3 linked regions of the Stegostoma tigrinum genome follow. Each later gene encodes a partner of the first gene's protein in a complex. Links are inferred from orthologs where the notes say so. Each region holds a gene or a part of one and is shown on either strand. Other genes may lie near its edges.

Evidence for each region.
Region 2: gtf2h4 (region 1) and gtf2a1 share a complex: the UniProt entries of both Homo sapiens proteins name them as parts of the TBP-based Pol II pre-initiation complex. The link is inferred for Stegostoma tigrinum from reciprocal best matches to the Homo sapiens genes GTF2H4 and GTF2A1.
Region 3: gtf2h4 (region 1) and polr2b share a complex: the UniProt entries of both Homo sapiens proteins name them as parts of the TBP-based Pol II pre-initiation complex. The link is inferred for Stegostoma tigrinum from reciprocal best matches to the Homo sapiens genes GTF2H4 and POLR2B.

The regions. Positions count from the first base shown.
Region 1 is NC_081387.1:14,072,029-14,078,962, reverse strand, and holds the start of gtf2h4 (general transcription factor IIH subunit 4), read right to left. Parts: upstream 3,048-6,934; 5' UTR 2,948-3,047; intron 2,942-2,947; exon of another isoform or gene 2,797-2,941; intron 1,927-2,796; exon of another isoform or gene 1,833-1,926; intron 1-1,832. UniProt on the Homo sapiens protein: Component of the general transcription and DNA repair factor IIH (TFIIH) core complex, which is involved in general and transcription-coupled nucleotide excision repair (NER) of damaged DNA and, when complexed to CAK, in RNA transcription by RNA polymerase II.
Region 2 is NC_081363.1:9,877,707-9,885,125, reverse strand, and holds the start of gtf2a1 (transcription initiation factor IIA subunit 1), read right to left. Parts: upstream 3,006-7,419; 5' UTR 2,822-3,005; coding exon 2,792-2,821; intron 2,172-2,791; exon of another isoform or gene 2,155-2,171; coding exon of another isoform or gene 2,152-2,154; intron 1-2,151. UniProt on the Homo sapiens protein: TFIIA is a component of the transcription machinery of RNA polymerase II and plays an important role in transcriptional activation. TFIIA in a complex with TBP mediates transcriptional activity.
Region 3 is NC_081354.1:16,642,727-16,650,505, forward strand, and holds the start of polr2b (DNA-directed RNA polymerase II subunit RPB2), read right to left. Parts: upstream 3,103-7,779; 5' UTR 2,968-3,102; coding exon 2,943-2,967; intron 1-2,942. UniProt on the Homo sapiens protein: Catalytic core component of RNA polymerase II (Pol II), a DNA-dependent RNA polymerase which synthesizes mRNA precursors and many functional non-coding RNAs using the four ribonucleoside triphosphates as substrates.

The sequences.
Region 1 (6,934 bases):
AGCAGGAGAGCATTAGTCATTGGGGACTCCATAGTTAGGGGGGCAGATAGGAGATTCTGTGCGAACGAGAGAGACTCACTGTCGGTGTGTTTTGCCTCTCAGGTGCCAGGGTCTGTGATGTCTCAGATCATGTTTTCGGGAACCTTAAGGGGGAGGGGAAGCAGCCCCAAGTCATGGTCCACATAGGCACCAACGACATATGAAGGAAAAGGGACGGGGATGTAAGGCAGAAATTCAAGGAGCTAGGTTGGAAGCTTAGAGCTAGAACAATCAGAGTTGTTATCTCTGGGGCTCATTCTGGGGTAGGTGGGACTTCTGCAAACGGGATGGTCTACACCTGAACCAGAGGGGCACCAATATCCTGGGGGGGAATTTGCTAATGTTCTTCGGGAGGGTTTAAACTAATTCAGCAGGAGGATGGGAACCTGAACTGTAGCTCCTGTGTCCAGGAGGTTGAGAGTAGTGAGATCACGAATAAGGTTTTACGGTCACAGAAGGGTACCGGCAGGAAGAAAGGTGGTTTGAAGTGTGTCTACTTCAATGCCAGGAGCATCCGCAATAAGATGGGTGAACATGCAGCATGGGTTGGTACCTGGGACTCGATGTTGTGGCCATTTCGGAGACATGGATAGAGCAGGGACAGGAATGGTTGTTGCAGCTTCTGGGATTTAGATGTTTCATTAAGATCAGGGAAGGCGGTAAAAGAGCGGGGAGGTGTGGCATTGTATTACAGTTGCAGAAAGGACGTTCAATGAGGACTCATCTACTGAGGTAGTATGGGCTGAGGTTAGAAACAGGAAAGGAGAGGTCACCCTGTTGGGAGTTTTCTATAGGCCTCCGAAAAGTTCCAGAGATGTAGAGGAAAGGATTGCAAAGATGATTCTGGATAGGAGCAAAAGTAACAAGGTAGTTGTTATGGGGGACTTTAACTTTCCAAATATTGACTGGAAACGCTATAGTTAGAGTACTTTAGACGGGTCAGTTTTTGTCCAATGTATGCAGGAGGGTTTCCTGACACAGTACGTAGATAGGCCAACGAGAGGCGAGGCAACATCGGATTTGGTATTGGGTAATGAACCAGGCCAGGTGTTAGATTTGGAGGTAGGTGAGCACTTTGGTGATAGTGACCACAATTCAGTTACGTTTACTTTAGCGATGGAAAGGGATAGGTATATTCTACAGGGGAAGAGTTATAGCTGGGGGAAAGACAATTATGAGGCGATTAGGCAAGATTTAGGATGCATAGGATGGGGAAGGAAACTGCAGGGGCGGGGCACAATTGAAGTGTGGAGCTTGTTCAAGGAACAGCTACTGCGTGTTCATGATAAGTATGTACCTGTCAGTCAGGGAGTAAGTGGCCGAGTGAGGGAACCGTGGTTTACTAAAGAAGTTGAATCTCTTGTCAAGAGGAAGAAGGAGGCTGATGTAAAGATGAGGCGTGAAGACTCAGTTAAAGCACTTGAGAGTTACAAGTTAGCCAGGAAGGACCTAAAGAGAGCTAAGCAGAGCCAGGAGGGGACATGAGAAATCTTTGGCAGGTAGGATCAAGGAAACCCCTTTAGCCTAGGGCAGTGATAAACTTGGTTTCAGTTTGCACAGCTGAGGAGCTATCAACAGAGGGGCTACATCCCGACAGTGAAAGACTTTTGGTTCCCTCCCCCCGTCTTGTTGAGGCCAAAAACGAGACGCAAACGGGCACACAAAAAGTGAGCAGCACACTAACTTCACACAGACACACACATATCCCTGTAATGACACACACATGTGAAATCCTCAATCAAATCAACACCAAACAACAAAACAAGAGAAAAACAATCAGTCCCGGGGATTACCGTGAGGCCTTAGCGGAAGTTCGCCGAGTGCAGATTGGCTGTCGTGTTCCCTACGCTGAAATAACCGTGAGCACTCTGGGATACCTGAGATATCCTGTGAAAGGCACCATTGCAAACACATGACTTTATTTTCATGCATTTATACAGCATGGAACCAGGCCCTTTGGTCCAACCAGTCCATGTCGACCATAACCCCAAACTAAACTAGTCTGACCTGCCTGCTCGTGGCACATATCCTTCTAACCATTCCTATTCAGGTACTTATCCAAATGCCTTTTTAATCATTGTAACTGTACACGCATCCACCCAATCACCTCTGCAAGTTCATTCACACACAAACCACACTGTTAAAAAAAAGTACTCACACCTTTTTAAAATCTTTTCTCCCCTTACCTTAAAAATATGTTCCAGAGTCTTGAAACCCCACACCCTAGATAAAAGTCACCCGCATTCACCTCATCTATGCCCCTTCTGATTTTATAAACTTCTATAAAAATCCCCTCACAACCTCCTATGCTCCAGTGAGTAATAAAAGTCCCAACCCTCTCCTTATAACCCTCCCTTGCCAGCAACATCCTGGTAAATCTTTTCTCTCCAGCTTAACTTTAGAAAGGCATACGCCGTGTTAGGTTTTATTGGTAGAGGGATTGAGTTTTGGAGCCACGAGGTCATGTTGCAGCTGTACAAAACTCTGGTGCGCCCGCACTTGGGAGTATTGCGTACAGTTCTGGTCGCCACATTATAGGAAGGATACAGAAGCATTGGAAAGGTGAATGGTGAACCCCCTCCAGCTTAACAATATCCTCCCCGTAACAGGGTGAATGGGACTCACCAATGGCCTGTACAACCTCAACAAGACGCCCCAACTCCCACACTTGAAGGCCTGAGCAATGAAGCTAAGTGTGCTAAATGCCTTCAACTCCAGCCTGTCTACACGTGTTGCAAACTTTAAAGTAGTACGTACCTGAACCCCTAGGTCTCACTGTTCTAAACACTACGTTTCGTTCTTTTAAGGTCTTAAAGAACCCTGTTTGTCCACCATCAAGTCCCATGAGTGGTAACAGTCTGTTAGTCAGCAGCACATAAAAGGAAAATCTGCAAAAGGTTCCTCCCACCTTTGTTTTTCTTGAATAGGGACAATCTCTTTCTCTCCCTCCCTCACGTTGTCACTCATAGGGAAGCTGGAAGTGAGCCCGCGCATGCGCAGGTCCCATGTCGGCGCCTGCCGACGACGTCACCAAGACGCCCGATAGACCACTTTCACGACGACGTCACCAAACGTCACGGGACTTCCGGCTCCTCCCCAGCCCCGACTCCAGCTCGTGTCCCGGGTGAAGCTGCGATCTGCCGCACAGCCAAAACAGAAACACCAACGCGGATGCTGGGAATTAGAAAAGAATGCAAGTATTACTCGAAAACAAAAACCCAGCACCTCTGACTACTAAGATAATAAAATGTGAGGCTGGATGAACACAGCAGGCCAAGCAGCCTCTCTGATGAAGGGTCTAGGCCCGAAACGTCAGCTTTTGTGCTCCTGAGATGCTGCTTGGCCTGCTGTGTTCATCCAGCCTCACATTTTATTATCTTGGAATTCTCCAGCATCTGCAGTTCCCATTACCTCTGACTACTATCTGTGGAGAGAAAGCAGAATTGACGTTTCAAGCCCAATTACCTTCATTTCACTCCGCTCTCTCTCCAACAGATAATGTCAGAGAGAAAGCAGAGTTTATTGAGGGTAACTGGACTTGAAACGCCAATTCTGCTTTCTCTCCACAGATGCTGCAGTCCTGATGATTTTATTTTGCCAGCAATTCCTGTTTCTGCACCAACGCGTAACCTCACAAATTCAAGTGACTGCTTTTACGTATTTATAGCTTATTCTGAAATGAAGGCAATGGAACTTGGCGATTTTAAATAGTGCCCTGCGTCCCCTCGAGCATCCAAATTTGTTTTGTTTTTCTATCTTGGAGTAGAGAATGCAAGACAAACCCACAAACTCTCACGTATGGCATTGCAATAACAGTTAGATTATCTAATGTGGGAATGTCAATTGGGTGACAAATATTCACCAAGTCAGTCTGAAGATTCACTGGTCTCAAAACGTTAGCTCTGCTTTCCTCCCACAGTTGCTCCTGACCTGCTGACTTTGCCAGCAATTTCTGTTTTTATTTGACACCACATTTAATTCTTTTAGAACAGGAATGTCATACGTTGAGAATGTGGGGCACAGTTAGCTCAGTGGGCTGGATGGCTGGTTTGCAATGCAATGTAACAAGATTACTCTGGTAGGTTCCATTCTGCACCAACTGATGTTATCACAAGGGACTGTTATTCTCAACATCTCCCGTCACCTGAGGCATATTGACCTTCAGGTTAAAAAGAAAGTTAAATTTCTGTCATGAGAAAACGGGACCATGGTGACTTTTACATTGTGACTAAATAGAAAACAAAACCAAAACTATTCTTTGATCTTGCAAAAGACCTTTTAAATCCTGGGAAATTGCATAAATAAACAGACAAGTGGGAAAGAAGTTTGGAACTTGTAATGTTGGTCGTTGCAAAATATATATTTTAAACTCATCTGAAATCGGCATAAGTTTGTAAAATCTCAGAAGAAAAACATTTCACAGAGGAATAAAGTTAGACCTGGTGTTCTTTCTAGGCAATTAGTGTACACAGTCTTGTCATTCTTCAAACTACACAATCAAAATGTCATTGAAAGATTAGAAATTGACAAAAATGCTTAAACTGTCATAGTCTCTGCTTTGCATTAGTTAATTGCATAATTAAACACTAATACTCAATTCTGCTCTGCCAGTCAACGTGTTCAAAGTTGATCATCCAACATAGTATCCTGTTCTCACTTTCTCCCCATACTCTTTAATCCGTTTAGCCCTAAGACTATATATAACCTCTTCTTGAGATGTCTTGGCTTCAAATGCTTTCTATGGCAAAGAATTCTATACGTTCACCACGCCCTGAGTAAAGAAATGTCTCCTCATCTTTGTCCTAAATAACCTAACCAGTACACTTAGACTGTGACCCCTGGTCCTGCACTCCCAAGTGACTGAGAACATCCTTCCTTTGTTTACCATGTCTAGTCCTTTTGAATTTTATAGCTTTCTATACGATGACCCCGTTCTTAAAAACTCTAGTGAATATAGGTCTAATCAATTTAATTTCTGTTCATCTATCAGACCTGCCATCCCAGCAACCAGCTTCGTCTTTTCATTTCCATTTCCTGCCCCTGTATTTCCATAACCACGTCATTTTCTCATCTTTTTTTTACTTTGGAATTCCAACTCCAGATTTCTCATTCTCTCCTCATGCTTGATCTTCTTCAATTTTAACGGAATATCATTTGGTTCTCAGTCTCTTATATTTCCTCTAAACCCAAATGTTGTGCTGGTACCTCAGTTATTTTGCCTTCTCAGCTTTGACATGCAATAATACCACCAGCACTTGTGTCAGGTCACTCTAACTGGGTTTTGAAATTTCCCTCAAGAACAACCCTTCTACCTGCAGGAAATCCTTTCGCGTTTTCAGTGTCATGTGTTAAATGCACAACAGAAACTGATTTTTTTTTCTTCACTTGCATTATCTCCTGCTCCCACATACAAATCCTGTATCAAATTTTATTTGGGTTGAGCTCCCAAATATTGTCACAATTCACTGGAGTAGAGCACTAGAAATGAAGCTGCACTATTCCTGGAGTTGTCACAAATGTTACAGCTATTAAGATAAATACACAAATTTCCCCAATAAGCCTGACTTTCAGACATAGGTTGATAGAAAGCAGAGCTGACTCAATGGGTTGAAGGCATAATTCCTATCTTGTTGTGGTATGGAAGTTTGCAGTTAACAAGAATTTCTATTTATTACAAATAGTTAGACTCTATTTATAGCTAAACTGCTATAAATCACTGTCATATAAAACTATAAATTAAAACTCTAATGCCCTGAGACAGACAAAAGACACACATTCCTGCTCCCTTCCCCATACTTGGATTGCTGAAATGACCCTTGAGCTGAACCCAATATTTCTGTTCAGTCATCTTTCTCCAATGCTTCCACTGGTATGCACCAAACACAAAGTGACTCATTAGCTTATAAACTGTCTCTGACATATCAACTAAAAGGCACAGCTTATAACAACTGCTGAAGGAAAGATGAACCGGTTGACTTTAAGTTTAACAAAACATGAAGAACTGTAAAATTGCTGGAGGAACTGAACTGGCAGCATCTGTGGACAAGAAACAGAGTCAATGTTTCAGGTAGAATGAGCCTTCTACAGATCTGTTTGTAGCTAGGAAAAGATGGCATATATCTGACGACAGGGCATGGCCGGGGGTGGTGTTGTGGTGCAGAAGGAGTAATGGAGATGGAGCCCAGAGAGAGAAAAAAAAAATCAGCAGTTGAGCAGACAAAGGAATGAATAAAGGTAAGCCAGGGAGGAAGAAAAACAGATAATGGGGACCATTAGTGGATGAAAATGGGTTGGCTCTGATAAAAACAGCCCATGTGATGACAGAGCCTGGGCTGTGGGGGTGGATAAAGGATATGGAAATAAGTGCTCAGGCATTAAAATGATTGAACTCAATACTGAGTCCTGAAGGCTGCAGAGGAAGATGAGATGTTGTTTTTCTTGCATGTGCTGAGCCTCACTGGAATACTGCAGCAAACCCAACACAGCGGTGCTCCAAAGGACAGCCTGCAGACCCTCAGCTTTTATTGTCCAACAGAACCATCTAGTCCTCAACCCCACCCCCCCACAATACCTTCCTCTGCCTCAGCCATCTAGTCATCACGTTCGATAACTTTTTCTTCAATTCTTCCCACTTTCTTTAAATCCAGGAAGTGGCCATGGGCAGTCGCATGGACCCCAGCTATTCCTGCCTCTTTGTGGGTTGCATGGTCCCTCTTCAGTACACACATCGATACTGTTCCTCAACTCTTCCGCCATCGCATCGATGCTGCACCCTGCATCTAGGCTGAACTGGAGCAAGTCACTGACTTCACTAACAACTTCCACCCCACCCTCAAGTTCACTTGGTCTATCTCAGACACCTCCCTCCCCTTTTCATGACCCCACTGCTTCCATT
Region 2 (7,419 bases), on another chromosome or scaffold:
ATTTCTGAAGAAGAGTCCCAACCAGAAATATCAGCTTTCCTGATCCTACAATGCTGCCTGGCCTGTGATCCTCCAGCATCTGCAGTTCTTACTAACTTAGTTAGCACATGTTGCCCTTTATCCAACAGCAAGTGGAATTCAAAAGTGAGGAAGCAGTGCTTCTGTTTGACAGAGTTTGATTAGTTCTTATCTGGAGTAGCATATGCAATTATAGACCTCAAAACTTGCTTCTGAAGTGTACAAATTGACCTACTACACCCAGAGACATCATGACAAGTTTCACAACATTGGCTTGTAGTCTCATGTTTAGATGGTTGTGAACTGCTAAATCAAGACATTTCAAATAACTGAGGCAATTGTGTAGAGAGAAGCCATTTTGTTTGCTGGGAAAAGTCCATAATCTTAAATGAGAGCTATGTCAGTCAGAACAAACATCAGAAAGCAAATTTTCCACAAAGGATACTGGAAATCTAATCTTCAAAGTGTCAGGAATGCTGGGTCAATTGACATCCTTGCTGGGCAAAATTTTAAAAGAGTAAAGATTGCCTCCACTCAGCTTGGCCTAATTAAACAGTAGAAATAGGCCAAGACACTGATCTACTTCTATTCTTCCTCACAGCTCCGACACTTGTATTGGGAAGTTAACATTTCCCTGCTCAAATATTAAGAACTGTTTAAATTGCAAGACTTCTGAAAATGCCAAGAATTTAAAGAAATTTAAAGATGACATTTTGAAATAACCATACAAGTCTAACCATTTAGATGAATACAAGCTAAGAACTTTTTGCTTAATGCTACACAAATGTATAAATAAGATGATGATTCCCACCAAGACAGAGTTCTAAATATTCTCTAAAATGGAACTTCATCACGTACCAGTAATGCTGAAATCAAGTGAGAAATGCCATTTGGTCCATTTTTCCTTTACTAGTGCTTTGAGGAAGAGCTATCCAATTCATTCCACTGGGTTGCCCTTACCTGCCATCATGGACTATGTAAATTCAACCACAGCAACCACTGTTACAAATATTCATCTACTTTTAGAAAAAGGGTCATTCCTGATAATGAGTTGTCAACATTGCACTGGAGTAAAAAACTGAATTGGCAAATGCATTTGCTTCAGATTTTCAGTATCAGAAGTATTGTGGTTTTAATAAAATAGTTACACACATCTTGGTTGAATTACAAATGCAAAGAAAAACACCCTGATCTATAAAAGATGCTGCTTGCAGTCTGAATTCACATTCTCAGAAAGAACACTACAGCATAGCCAAGCCTGCAGGAGCTCACCGTTGAAGGAAAGCTCACAGCCTCTGACAGAACAGAAAAACAGTGAGGGGACCAGGGATAAGGGTGGAGGGCAGAAGGTTTGTCAGAAAGAAGGTAGATAAGTCACAGCCTAAAACCGATCAAGGGAACATACTTAAGCAGGCAGTTTACCCTTGGGCCTCACAGCTGCTGTTAAGCCTCCCTCTCTCCCTGCTTTCTTGCACAGCCCTTGCAGTCTGACCTCATATGCAAAGGGGACCCCCCCCCCCTCCTCATGACGTAGAGCTGGCAAGCACATCCCCACCGTGCAACCGAGATTATAATAGAGGAGACCATCTAGGAGGGGGAGGAAAGACAGAAGCAAGGGGAAGGAAGGCACAAACAACAGGCCACCCTCCACAAAACATTAGCTTATGGAGCAGAGAGACCGATTCACCAGATTGGCCACAAAAGGAAGGGGGACAGGACTAAAACCAAAGTCTTAGGGGCCCTGAAACAGGGAAAGGAAAGCATCTCGTGCCTCCTTCAGACCAACAACACAAAAATTTGTAAAAAGTCAGCCAGAAAACAAAATGGTTCATCAGCAAATAGTGCAGGCTCCATCTGTTTCTCTAGAGGGATCAGCAGGGGTGTGTTGGTGTTTCAGTTTTATTCCTTTTGTAAAATAAAGGTTATATATTTACCTTCAAAAGTACAAGTTTTTAAAAGCTAAAACTTAAATCAGACATGAGCCTGTAATATCCTGACAGCTTACCAAAAGAAAACCTTAGCACTTTTCTTAGTTTCAAACTTGACACACAATTAGCAAAAGCAGTTCTTGAATTGTGATTTTTCCAGGTGAAACCACCTCATGAATTCAACTTTTTATTTAAAAAAAATTACCATTCATTTTGATGTGCAACCCAAAAATTGAACCATTCACCCACCACTTTCTCCCCCACTCCATTTCTTTCCCAAGCCACTTTAGAAAGCACCTCAGCTTAAAAATGTAGTTACTAGTCCAGACAAAAGAAATTTTTACAGGAGAGAAAGGAGGGAAGTGTTTTCTCCCTCACCACCCCCCCTCAAAAAATCTGCTTGTAAAAACTAAAACTCCAGCCACAGCTCCTGACAAAAATCCAGTCAGTTTGTCCAAGATATGGCTTGCTTTGCTCCGCTAATTATTTTTAAAAATGTTGAGAAAGGGAGTCAAATCTTGTTTTCCTTTTAAAAAAAGGGAAGTTTTTGTTCCTTCCCCCCCTTTTCAAATGCCAACAAGTTTTCCGCTTTGCTGAATTTTGCTTCAAAATTTCCCCAGACAGAAAACAAAAGCAAAACATTACTTTTCACGTTTGGTTTTTCTTAAAATAAAAAAGTAGAGAGAAAAAATTGTTTTCATCCTCGGGAGTGGAAAAAGCAGATTTTAATGAAGAGCATAGATATAATTTTTTTAAAAATATATAAAATGGTTCCCATCTTAAAGTCTCTTTTATTTCGGAGGATTTAAAAAAACAACCACACTCAACACACAAAAAAATCTTACCACCGGGTTTGAGTTGGCCGAACTCGCCATGTGGATACGGAGGAGAATTTAAATGAAATATCCAGATGAGGTGGTTTGTTTTTTGGTCAAGAAAAAGATTTTTTTTTAAAACAAAAATAAAAGCGATTAAAATTGATTTTTGGCGGTGCTGCCTGAAGCGGGCTTGGGAAAGCCGTCCGTCCTCTTCCAGCGAGCGCTTATATACTGCCGAATGGAGCTTCAATTGCCGCTATAGGGAGGGTCCGGCAAATGAGGCGCTGCGTCAGCGCTTGTCTTCGCTCCCCCGCCCCCGCACCCAACCAACAAACCAAACCCCACCGCCCTCATCTCGCGAGAGTACCCACGGACACATCCGGGTCCTGCTACCTCCGCCGGGCATGCCGGGAGTTGTAGTATTTCCGTTCCCGCTCTCCTGCCGCTGCCATGTTTAACCCTGGATTTCCACAACAACAAACCACCATCGAATTCACCCCCCCTTCCCCCCCCACCCCCGGTTGCGGAAAGTAGGCCTTTGGGCCCATCGAAGAGCATCCCATCTCCCCCACCCACCAGATTCAGCCCGCTCTGTCGCTGCATTTCCCATGGCTGGCCCGCCCAGACACCGTGGGCAAATTTGGAAAAGTCAGCCCACCTAATCTACCCATCTTTGGATTGTGCGAGGCACAGAGCACCTGAAGGAAACCCACGCAGACATGGGGAGAACATGCAAACCCCACAGGGCCCCCAGTGCTGGGATTTAACCCCTGTCCCTGGAGCTGTGAGGCAGCAGTGCTCACCACTGAGCCACCATGCCACCTAAACCATGGGTGGAGGTGAAATTTGTGTTGCCCATGGCATCTGTGTCCAGCACAGACTCGTGGAGGCAGTGGTGGAGGCAGACCTGGGCCCAGAGCAGGCTCTTGGCAGTGGTGGAGTTGAGTTTGGCCTGGTATGGGACATGGTGAGGATTAATTGTGGCAGCAGTGTTGGTGGAGGCAAGATGACATCGAAGAGTGGCGATTCATGTTCTGGCAGCACGGCGAGGGTACATGCCCATGGCTAAGCACTCAACAAGACGGACTACAAAGTTGAACTTCATTTCTTCATTTTTCCACCTTTATATTCCACGTTATGATTCATCTTTCTGCGTTTTAAGATGGTGCCGGAGAGTGGTGACGCTACGCAACTCTTTTCATTGTGTTTTGTAACAAAATACATGTGACAATAAATCAAATCGATCAATAAATCTCTTGAACATTTCTTTCACCAAGACAGACTATAGAAACCATGCTTGCACCTTGAATTGTGCACTCCCTTCCCCAGGAAAACATTAACTTTTTATTAAACTTCATACACGGGATGAATGCGTCTCTAGGTGGGTCAGCATTCATTGTTGAGCCCCAGCTGCTCTGCCCCAGAGAACAGTCAAGAATCAACCACATTGCTGTGGGCCTGGAGTCACATATAGGCCAAACCAGGTAAGGATGGCAGATTTCCTTCACTAAAAGGGCATTAGTGAACTAAATAGTTTTTTTGACAGTGGTTTCACTGGTCATCATTAGTCTTTGAATTCAAGCTTTTAATTAAAATGGTAAAACTGATGGGTCATTGCCTTTGCCAGAGGAGCAGATTCAGTCCGTAAAGTCTGCTCCACCAACAAATAAGATCATGATAAGAGGTCAAAAAAAATCATGTTCCACCCCTCTCCTCACTGAGTTTTTTCTAAAATTTATTCATAGTATGTAGACATAGCTGGCTAGGCCAGCTTTCAGTGCCCATACTTACCCACATTGCTTTAGATCTGGAGTCAGCAGGCCAGGCCAAGAAAGGATGGGAGATTTCCTCCCCTAAGGGACATGAGTGAACCAGATGAGTATTTTTTTGTGACAATCAAGATCATTAGATTTTTAGTTCTGGATTTTCATTGAATTCAAGTTCCACCACCTACCACGATAATAAAATGTGAGGCTGGATGAACACAGCAGGCTCAGCAGCATTTCAGGAGCACAAAAGCTGACGTTTCGGGCCTAGAACCTTCATCAGAAAGGGTCTAGGCCCGAAACGTCAGCTTTTGTGCTCCTGAGATGCTGCTGGGCCTGCTGTGTTCATCCAGCCTCACATTTTATTATCTTGGATTCTCCAGCATCTGCAGTTCCCATTATCACCTCCACCACCTGCCTACGGCAGGTTTTAAGCCCAAGTCCCTAGAACATGACCTAGTTACCCAGATTGATTATTTAGCAATAATACCACTCAGCCATCACCTCCCATTAATGTGTTTTAGCTTGCTGTAGATCTGAACACCTCAATTTACAACTTTACTTCTCTTTCACACCTATTACCAGTGCCTTCAAGATGGCTCCTAAGTCCGTGGCTTTTCATCTTTTTCCTTTTGTCTGTATTTACCTCCATTTTTCAGATGGCATCGGTGGTGGAGAATTGAGCCAGCATGGACTCAGGAGACTCTTGGCCTCGCGGAAGCCCAGCATTGGACTCCCGGCCTTGAGCTGATGCCCAGCATGGACTCCCTCCTTTAGAAAAACTGTATTGCTGAACTTTGTTTCTTTATTTTTCTAGTTTATACCTAACATTTTATACCTAGGTATTTTTGTACCTAAGATGGACTGGAAATGGCAAATTTGTATACTTTTCACTTTTGCAGTTCTTACTATCTCTGCATCAATTTCTAACCCTTATTTGGACCCATTTCTTATTGGCCGTAGGTCTTTTCCATATCCCTGTTCATGCATATTCATACATCCCTCAACTTGAGTACATGTTACAGTAAACCTAATTCCAATTCTAACGTCAAATCAGATTAATTAAAATATAAGTGCAGTGGCTAAAACAACAGGCAGTGACTAGGAATATTGCAGGATTCACCTCCTGATTCCCCAAAGCCTGAGCACCATCTACAAGGCGCAATTTCCTTAATACTTCCCTTAAACTTTATCCCTCTCACTTTCAACTTATGTCCTCTTGTATTTGACATTTCCATGCTGGAAAAGAGATTCCAATAATTCTCTCTATCCACACTGCTCATAATTTTATATATTTCTATCAGGTTGCCTCTGAGGTTCTAGCGGAAACAATCCAAGTTTGGGCAGCCTCCTTCTAGCTCATAAACTCCAATCCTGGTAAACCTCTTCTGTACACTCTCCAAAGCGTCCATGTCCTTCCTGTATTGTGGTAACCAGAACTGTGCACAGTACTCCAAATGTGGCCTGACCAAAGTCTTATAAAGTACAACATGACTTGCCAACTTTTATAATTAATACCCTGAACAATGAAGGCAACATGCCATATGCTTTATTTACCACCTTATCCACTTGTGTTGCCACTGACAAGGAACTATGGAGTTGTACCACAACAACCCTCTGCATATCAAAGCACCTAAGGGTCCAACCATTTACTGTATACTTTTATCATTCATTTGACCTCTGAAAATATATCACATCGTACTCCTCGGGATTATACTCCATCTGCCATTTCTTAGCTCAACTTTCCAGCTGATCTATATTCTGCTGCATCCTTTGATATCCTTCCTCACTATCCATAACTCAAATAGTTTCATGTCATCTGCAAATCTATAATCAGACCACTGACATTTTCATTCACATTGTTTATTTATATCACAAACAACAGAGGTCTCAGACTGATTCTTGAGGAACGTTACTGGTTGCAGACCTCCAGTCAGAAAAACACTCCTCCATTACTGCCCTTTGTATTCTATGGCCAAGCTAATTTTGTATCCAGTTTGGTAACTCAATGGATTCCATGTGATTTGATCTTCTGGACCAGCCTACAGCACAACACATTATAGCACAGGACCAGGCCCTTCGGTCCACCGAGCCTCCATCAATTCCTAGATAACACAGTGTGGAGCTGGAGGAATACAGCAAGCCAGGCATAACCAGAGGAGTAGAAAAGTTGACATTTTGGGTCAGGATCCTTCTTCAGAAATGGGGAGGGAAAAGCAAGCTCAGAAATAAATAGAGAGGAGGTGTGGGGCTGGGAAGGTAGGTAGGATGGTGATAGGTGAGTGCCGGTAGGGAGTGGTGGGGATTGGTCAGTGAGGCGGGAGGGGCGGACAGGTGGGAGAGAAGATGGACAGGTTGGTCAGGTCAAGGAGGCGGGGAGGAAGGGAGGGGTGGACATGCAACGAGTTTGGTGGATGGGGAAATTTTGAAACTGGTAAAACCCACATTTAGGCCATTTACCAGTTTCAAAATTTTGCCTACCCCTGGCCTCTTCCCCCGCCCCACGCCTCCTCTCTATTTATTTCTGAATTCCCTTCTCCCTCCCCATTTCTGAAGCAGGGTCCTGACCTGAAACTGCCTGGCCTGCTGTGTTCCTCCAGCTCCAAACTCTGTTATTTCTGACTCCAGCATCTGCAGTTCTTACTATCTCTGCATCAGTTCCTAATCCTTATTTGGACCCACTTCTTATTGGCCATAAGTCTTTTCTATACCTCTGTTCACTTCCCGTTCATGTGTCTATCAAGATATGCCTTAAACAATGCTAATCTTAAACAGTGCTTCCACCACCTCCACCGCCAGTGTGTTCCAGGCAACCACCACCCTCTGTGTGAAAAATTTTCCCTACTCTGCTCCCCTAAACTTACCCCCTCTCACCTTGAACCTGTGCCC
Region 3 (7,779 bases), on another chromosome or scaffold:
TCTCTCAGCACCACTCACAGGTGTCACAGAGGGTTTGTGAATTTTCGAGTATCAAGATGGGGGTCACAGTGGGAAAGTGTTCAGGAAGAACTGCTGTTGACCACACTAGGGTTGAACAGTAACTGACTTGAAGTGGTTCTTGTCTGATCTGGTTCAGATGGAAGAAAGCCTCCTAAGAAACATTCGAATTGGAGGGAATCCTGCTAAGAAGCTGCCCAGGTGTTCTTTTCCACTTCTGAAAAGAAAACTCACCGTATTAAGAGTGAAAACCATTTGCTTTTTTGAAAGTGACTGAAAGAACATGACAAGACTATTTCTTGAGCAAACTCTGCTTGTGGGCAGAAACAACAATGCATAATTAATGATGACCGTACACGTCAAGACATCAGAGCAACAAACTCTGAAACAACTTTATGTTTTGTCCTTTTGTCTTTCAGAATAGCCCCTTTTCAAAGCTTTATTCAAAAAACAATTCATTGCAGTGGAATCTTTGTTTTACGTTTTCCTGAAGAAAACGTGGAAGTGAGCTTGCACGTGAGTCTTGGGGAATGTTTATGGGAATAAACACTTATTTCTAGTCCACTGTGCACATTAATCAATGATTACACTTTTGCTGAATTCTGTTTTGATAAAAAACCCATAAATTATGTCTACTAATGAATTTGGGTTGATAGACCTTTTTGTTTAAAACCCCTGATACAGATGATGCGATTAAGTGATCATTTTGTTAAATGGGAACACACTTTTAAATTGCAATCCATGAGGCTGCGGCACTAAATGGCATCATTACAACTGAGGCTGAATGAATGCAACATGAGGAAAGGAGGAATAAAGGAAAAACGTTATCTAGATGGTGAGAAGTAGCAGAGCTCAGAAATTAAGAGGAATCTGGATGCCTTTGTACATAAATCTCAAGAAGTGTCCAGGTATAGCAAATAATTAGAAAAGCTAAAATCTTTCTTGTTCATTGCAAGGAGAATTTAGTATAAAAGTAGAAGGTAATGCTTCACTTATTTAGGGCATGAGTGAGACTACCTCTGGAGCAGTCTTGGTCTCAGTTTCTTTAAAAGAAAGGACATAAATGTATTGGAGATTTTTTACTTGGAGACTCATCCTTCCATCATTATAAATGAAGGGATGCCTGAACTATCACTGAACTTGTGGCCGAAATATCAGTGCTAGACACATCACGACACAGAAGTCGGCTGAGGCAAGACAGAGACAAGACTCACGGTTGGGCAGCCTAGAAGTGACTGGAAATGTTCAATCCACCCTGAGCTTACCTCGCAGATATGAAGTGATCACCAATGGCAATCAATGACTTCAATCAAGGTGGCATTGAGCAACAATATCCATGAAATAAGAAAGGATGGATGTCAGGTGAGTCACAAGTATAAGACAACAATAGCAATTCATGGATTTCAGAAATGATAACATGTTCAAACATTCTAGAGTGGAAAAGGAGAATGCAGACAGATCAGTAGTTTACGAGGACAGTGGCAATGAAATTGTTTTTTTTCTCCTGAGGATGAGGACTAAACATTTAATATAGCATACTCAAGGACAGGGAATTACTTACAATGTTAGCCAGCAGAAGGGCGTGGAAGTTGTGGATGTTCAGCAATGTACTTTCTGGTTGCACTGAATATATACTGCTAGAGAAAATCTTTCTAGATAACAATTGAGGAACATTTTTGCCCTTTTGTATCCTTAACACTACCACTGTCGCAGTCTACATTTTGGCAGCAGAAATCCCCAATTATAACAGTAGTGTTGCAATTTCTCTGTAATTTTCCTGATTTGTTTATCCTTTCCATAAGTTGGATGTTATGGGCTATACCAAGCAATGTACTTGCATCCTTTTTTGTTCCTCAGCTCTAACCAGATTCTGTCCCTGAATCCTCTGGGACCTCCTCTTTCTCCAACAATGCATTGCACTCCTTAACCAATAATATCATCAATCCTCCTCTCCTCTCTCTTCTAAGCATCGTACCCAGGAATATTTAACACTCAGGCCTGCTCTTGCGTGTCTTGGCTTAATACTGCTTGATGTGGTCCAGTCAAATCTGACATTAAACAACTTAACCAGGTGGGTGCCACAAACATTAAAAACTTTCTTCCCTAGCATTGAGAAAACAAAGACAGGGACTATATCAAGTGTAAGAGCCACAACAATACCCAGAACAAAGGACCAATGAAAGTATGATTATCCTTACTGGAAGCCTGAAAGGTGGAAGAGAACACAATAGATGTGCTGAATTAACTGCTTCAGTGGCAGAGAACAAAAACACAAACATAACAAACACCACACACTAAGACCTTTAAAAGAACAATCATTGTTATAACGTACAGATCATAGCAAACAATAATGATAACAGCTGCAATGAAGTTGGTTGAAGGTCAGAACTCCCCTACCCCTCTTTCTGTGGTACAATGGGGTACTTTATGGGGCAATATTTATTTTGAGGGGGCAAGCACACCATCATCTGAAAGACAGCACCTGCTGGCAATTCAACATTCCCCGTCAGCTGCAGCAGTGTGTCAACCTAAACGATGGACTTTAACATGTCTCTTTAAGTTGGACTAGAATCAAGCCCGCGGCTGACCATGTTGCCTATAAGTGACGTTTATAGACCTTCGTGCACAAATTGGTGCATGTCAGCAACTTCCCTCCAACCCCTGGGAGCTTAGAGTCAAAAAAGCCTCTCTGGATCAGGTCACATAGCAGCTCAGTGACTAGAAGACGGCTGGCGGTTTGCGTCTCCCCTCAAAGGCCCCAACAGAAAAATCAGGGCTGAAGTCAGCACCTGGGCTGGAGGGTCAGGCCGAGGCCTTAGGCCAGGCTCCCAGAGCCGGCGCCAACCCACCTCAACATCCGCCATTTTAAACTCCGCAAAACGTACGGATTTTAAAAAAAAGCATGGAAAGCCAGCACCACTCACCCTCACCGTCGTCCGGATCGTACATCTCGACAGCCGATTATGGGTTAACGGGAACGGAGAAAACAAACCGGCTGGATCCGACCAGTTAAAGCGACGGATGAAACCTATACTCGTCCGCCGCCTCGGCACCAAACGGAGCAGTAGTGAGCACTGCGCATGCTCCATCTTCTCATCCATTCACTGAGTGGGGGAGAGACAGCGCCACCTCTGGATCAGTCACCCAGTGCAGAGGGCCCTGTCTGTGGGTCATTTCACTAGTTCAAAGAGCACAGTCTCTGGGTCAATCACCAAGTGCAGAGGGCACTGTCTCTGGGTCAGTCACCCAGTGCAAAGGACATATTATCTGGGTCAACTATCTAGTGCAGACGACTCTGAACATGGGTCCGTAACCCACTGCAGAGGGTACTGCCTCTGGGTCAATCACTCATAGAGACAGAAAGAGAGAGAGGGTGTTGTTTCTGGGATATAAATTGAATGCTAGAGATGTGATCCAAATATTATCTTTTATAGGTATTATTGTGGACTCATATATACTTATATCTTGAACAAAGAACACTTGGATAAGGAAAGGTTCTGTGTACAACAGCAATTATGTTGCACCTACTGGAGCAGAGAGCTTACACATGTCTGGAATTTCAGGGAGAGGTGGCGTGGCCCAGGTTGTGAGTGGAATCAGACTATTCTGTTTTTGAACTCAGTCAGAAGCAATTTGACCTGTGTGAAGATCAACAGCCTATTGCTCCGTCTTCTTTCTCTGCATCTCATCTCATCTCAGTGCGTCAGCTGTCAACCTGCCAAAAGTCACCTTTACCACGTTGGTGGATGAGTGGAAAGGATTAGTTGGAATCTACCCGCACCATTTGAACAAAGACAATTCAGTCAGTACAACCATTCCAGAAAGACACATCAGTGCCTGCAGGTTGTGTATGTAGAATAACTTTGGAATCAGAAAACCATTCGGGACAATTTATGATCTATAATGTCTTAATGAGCTGAACTATTACTTGGAAAAAGCACTTTAAAGTTAACACTGCAGAATGTTTCCTTTTTGTTGCCCCTCAGACTTGGATGTGTTTATGTGTATGTATTTTTTAACAGGAATATTTGTATCATCTAAAATGCTTGTCAATAGTCTGAAATTTTTTTGTTTGAACATGTTTAACTTTGGTACTAAAGCAGTTATTTGTTGTTGAGTGGAGAAACCTGGCTGACTTGTTCTTAATACTGAAACATACCTGATACAGTGTGAAACCTTTATAGTTGGCCAGATTACCAACCTGGCTAAATTTAAATTTGTTGTGACAGGTGGAGGTATGGGATGAGAAAAGGATACGGTATACTCCAAACCTGATCATACAATCTCACAGAAAAAGTGGGTATTCTTTCTGACTATAAATGCACAGAGGGAGTGGGAGGTGTCTGTGGTGTTGCAGATATATAGTTAATGGTTCATATGCTATCATATAAATTACTAATGATATGAAAGTTTGAAACAGGAAAATGGGATAAATGCAACTGAAGCACTTTGAACTCAAGTACAGTTAAAAGATAGGTATACTGTTGCTTTGACAGGTTAACAGCTGGCAATTTGAAATAGATAATAAAATGTGAGTCTGGATGAACACAGCAGGCCAAGCAGCATCTCAGGAGCACAAAAGCTGACGTTTCGGGCCTAGACCCTTCATCTGATGAAGGGTCTAGGCCCGAAACGTCAGCTTTTGTGCTCCTGAGATGCTGCTTGGCCTGCTGTGTTCATCCAGCCTCACATTTTATTATCTTGGAATCTCCAGCATCTGCAGTTCCCATTATCTCTGAGGCAATTTGAAATGTTGGGCCTTGGTGATTGTCAGAATACTTAAGGCAAATGTTAGTTTTGAAGATTACCGCTTTTTTCATAAAATCAAAATAGAACAGATACAGCTGAAAAACAATGGATGGGCGTTCTTAACTGGCTGCAATGCTTGCAGTAATACTTGTCTAGAGGGAGTTAGAGTTAATTTAACCTAAAAGTAAACAGGAAACGTCAGGTTATGCCAAAATGTAGATGCAGAGAGCTTAAAAATTCATGTGTGCATTGTTTGCTGATAGATGTGAATTACATTTCGGAACTGGGAGATTGTTAAATCATAAGAAACTTGCAAATTACAAGCAATTATGGCTTAGGATAAGTCCCAGGGAATTTGGCTCCATATCTTGGAAACATTTGGAGCTAAAAGGAACCACTGTTAACCCAAACAAGTTGGAAGTCAAGGGAAGGAAGCCCACAAATGAGTGGAGTATTAGATCATAATTTTTATGTAAACTCATGTGTACCTCATGTTTACTTGAATTCTGAAGTCTCAGTTGTATACGATTTAGGATCAAAATCTAACCTGCTCAATATTACTTTTATTTCACTATATTTTTGATTGTGGACTGCAATGAGTAAAGGACTGTTTTAAAAACCAAGGATTGTAGAAGGGATTGCTGCACTTTTTAAAGTAAGACACCAACACTTATTTTAAGTTACATTGTTGCTTTGTTTAACCAGTACAGGGAGTTGATTGCAGACACCTGGTACTATGGACTGTGTATAAGGTGAGATTCAGCTCGCGACAAGTGGCTGATTGGTCTGGTGACCAGTTGTCAATGATAAAGGACATCTGGCCCAGCAGCATCTCAGGAGCACAAAAGCTGACGTTTCGGGCCTAGACCCTTCATCAGAGAGGGGAATGGGGTGAGGGTTCTGGAATAAATAGGGAGAGAGGGGGAGGTGGACCGAAGATGGAGAGAAAAGATAGGTGGAGAGGTAGGGAGGGGATAGGTCAGTCTAGGGAAGACGGACAAGTCAAGGAGGTGGGATGAGGTTAGTAGGTAGGAGATGGAGGTGCGGCTTGGGGTGGGAAGAAGGGATGGGTGAGAGGAAGAACAGGTTAGGGAGGCAGAGACAGGTTGGACTGGTTTTGGGATGCACAGGGTGGAGGGGAAGAGCTGGGCTGGTTGTGTGGTGCAGTGGGGGGAGGGGACGAACTGGGCTGGTTTTGGGATGCGGTGGGGGAAGGGGAGATTTTGAAGCTGGTGAAGTCCACATTGATACCATTGGGCTGCAGGGTTCCCAAGCGGAATATGAGCTGCTGGGTATCAATGTGGAACTTCCACATTGATACCATTGATACCCAGCAACTCATATTCCGCTTGGGAACCCTGCAGCCCAATGGTATCAATGTGGACTTCACCAGCTTCAAAATCTCCCCTTCCCCCACCGCATCCCAAAACCAGCCCAGTTCGTCCCCTCCCCCCACTGCACCACACAACCAGCCCAGCTCTTCCCCTCCACCCACTGCAACCCAAAACCAGTCCAACCTGTCTCTGCCTCCCTAACCTGTTCTTCCTCTCACCCATCCCTTCCTCCCACCCCAAGCCGCACCTCCATCTCCTACCTACTAACCTCATCCCACCTCCTTGACCTGTCCGTCTTCCCTGGACTGACCTATCCCCTCCCTACCTCCCCACCTATACTCTCCTCTCCACCTATCTTCTTTTCTCTCCATCTTCGGTCCGCCTCCCCCTCTCTCCCTATTTATTCCAGAACCCCCACCCCATCCCCCTCTCTGATGAAGGGTCTAGGCCCGAAACGTCAGCTTTTGTGCTCCTGAGATGCTGCTGGGCCTGCTGTGTTCATCCAGCCTCACATTTTATTATCTTGGATTCTCCAGCATCTGCAGTTCCCATTATCACTGATAAAGGACATCTGCCTGCCAACAACTATGTAATTGGTTTGAAGATAGCTTTAGACATCCAGAATGGCTTTATCTGTCTCTCTGCGCAGTAAAAATGAATACAGGTACACCCAAACCTTAAAGAATTTCATTTTATTTTTTCCTCACCCATTAGTATAAGCTGTGGCTAGTAACCAGTAAGTAAGAGACTTTGCAATTTGTGAATCAGTCACTCTGTGCTTCCTGCAAGAAGGTGAAAGTGCCTGGAGGGGAGAGAATGGAGAACACTAAGTCCTGACAAGGAAAAGGATCATTTCATGGAACCCTGTGGACAAGAACCAAATACCTGTTTTCTCAGTTTTTCCCCTCCACCCATGATCCTTTTTGTCCAGCTATATCTGTCTGTATTTGCATGTCAGGGAGTTTTATAAGGGAATCAGAATTTTAACTAAAAAAAAATCCCATAAGAGCCAAAATGGGCAGCACAGTGGTTCAGTGGTTAGCCCTGCTGCTTCCCAGTGTCAGGGATCCGGGTTCAATTCCAACCTTGGGTGACTGTAACAATCCCCCTGATTCTGCGTGGGTTTCCTCCAGATGCTCTGGTTTCCTTCCACAGTTGAAAGATATGTAGGTTAGGTGAATTGGCCATGAGAAATTGACTATGGTGTCCAGGGATGTGCAGGTTAGGTGGATTAGCCACGGCAAATGGAGGGTTATTGACATAGAGTGGGGGTGGATCTGGGTGAGATGCTCTTCAGACGTTTGGTGTGGAATTGATGGGCTAAATGGCCTGCGTCCACACTGCAGGGATTCTGTTTCAATTTCTGCTGGAGGTGCTGGAAATCTGAAACAAAAACAAAAAATTGCTGGTAAATCTCAGCAGGTCTGGCAGCATCTGTGGAGTGAAATCAGAGTTAATGTTTCAGGTTCAGTGGAGGCAAAGGTGCTGTGTGGCTGTGGGGGTGTGTTGGGAGTGAAGGAGGAGCTGACCAGGGAGTCTTTGAGGGATTAGTCCTTGCAGAAGAAGGGAGAGCAGGGGAATATGTGTCTGGAGGTAGCATCCTGCTGGAGGTGGTGGAAATGGTGACTAATGATCCTCTGGATGTGGCTGTTGGTGGGATGATAGGTGAAGACAAAGG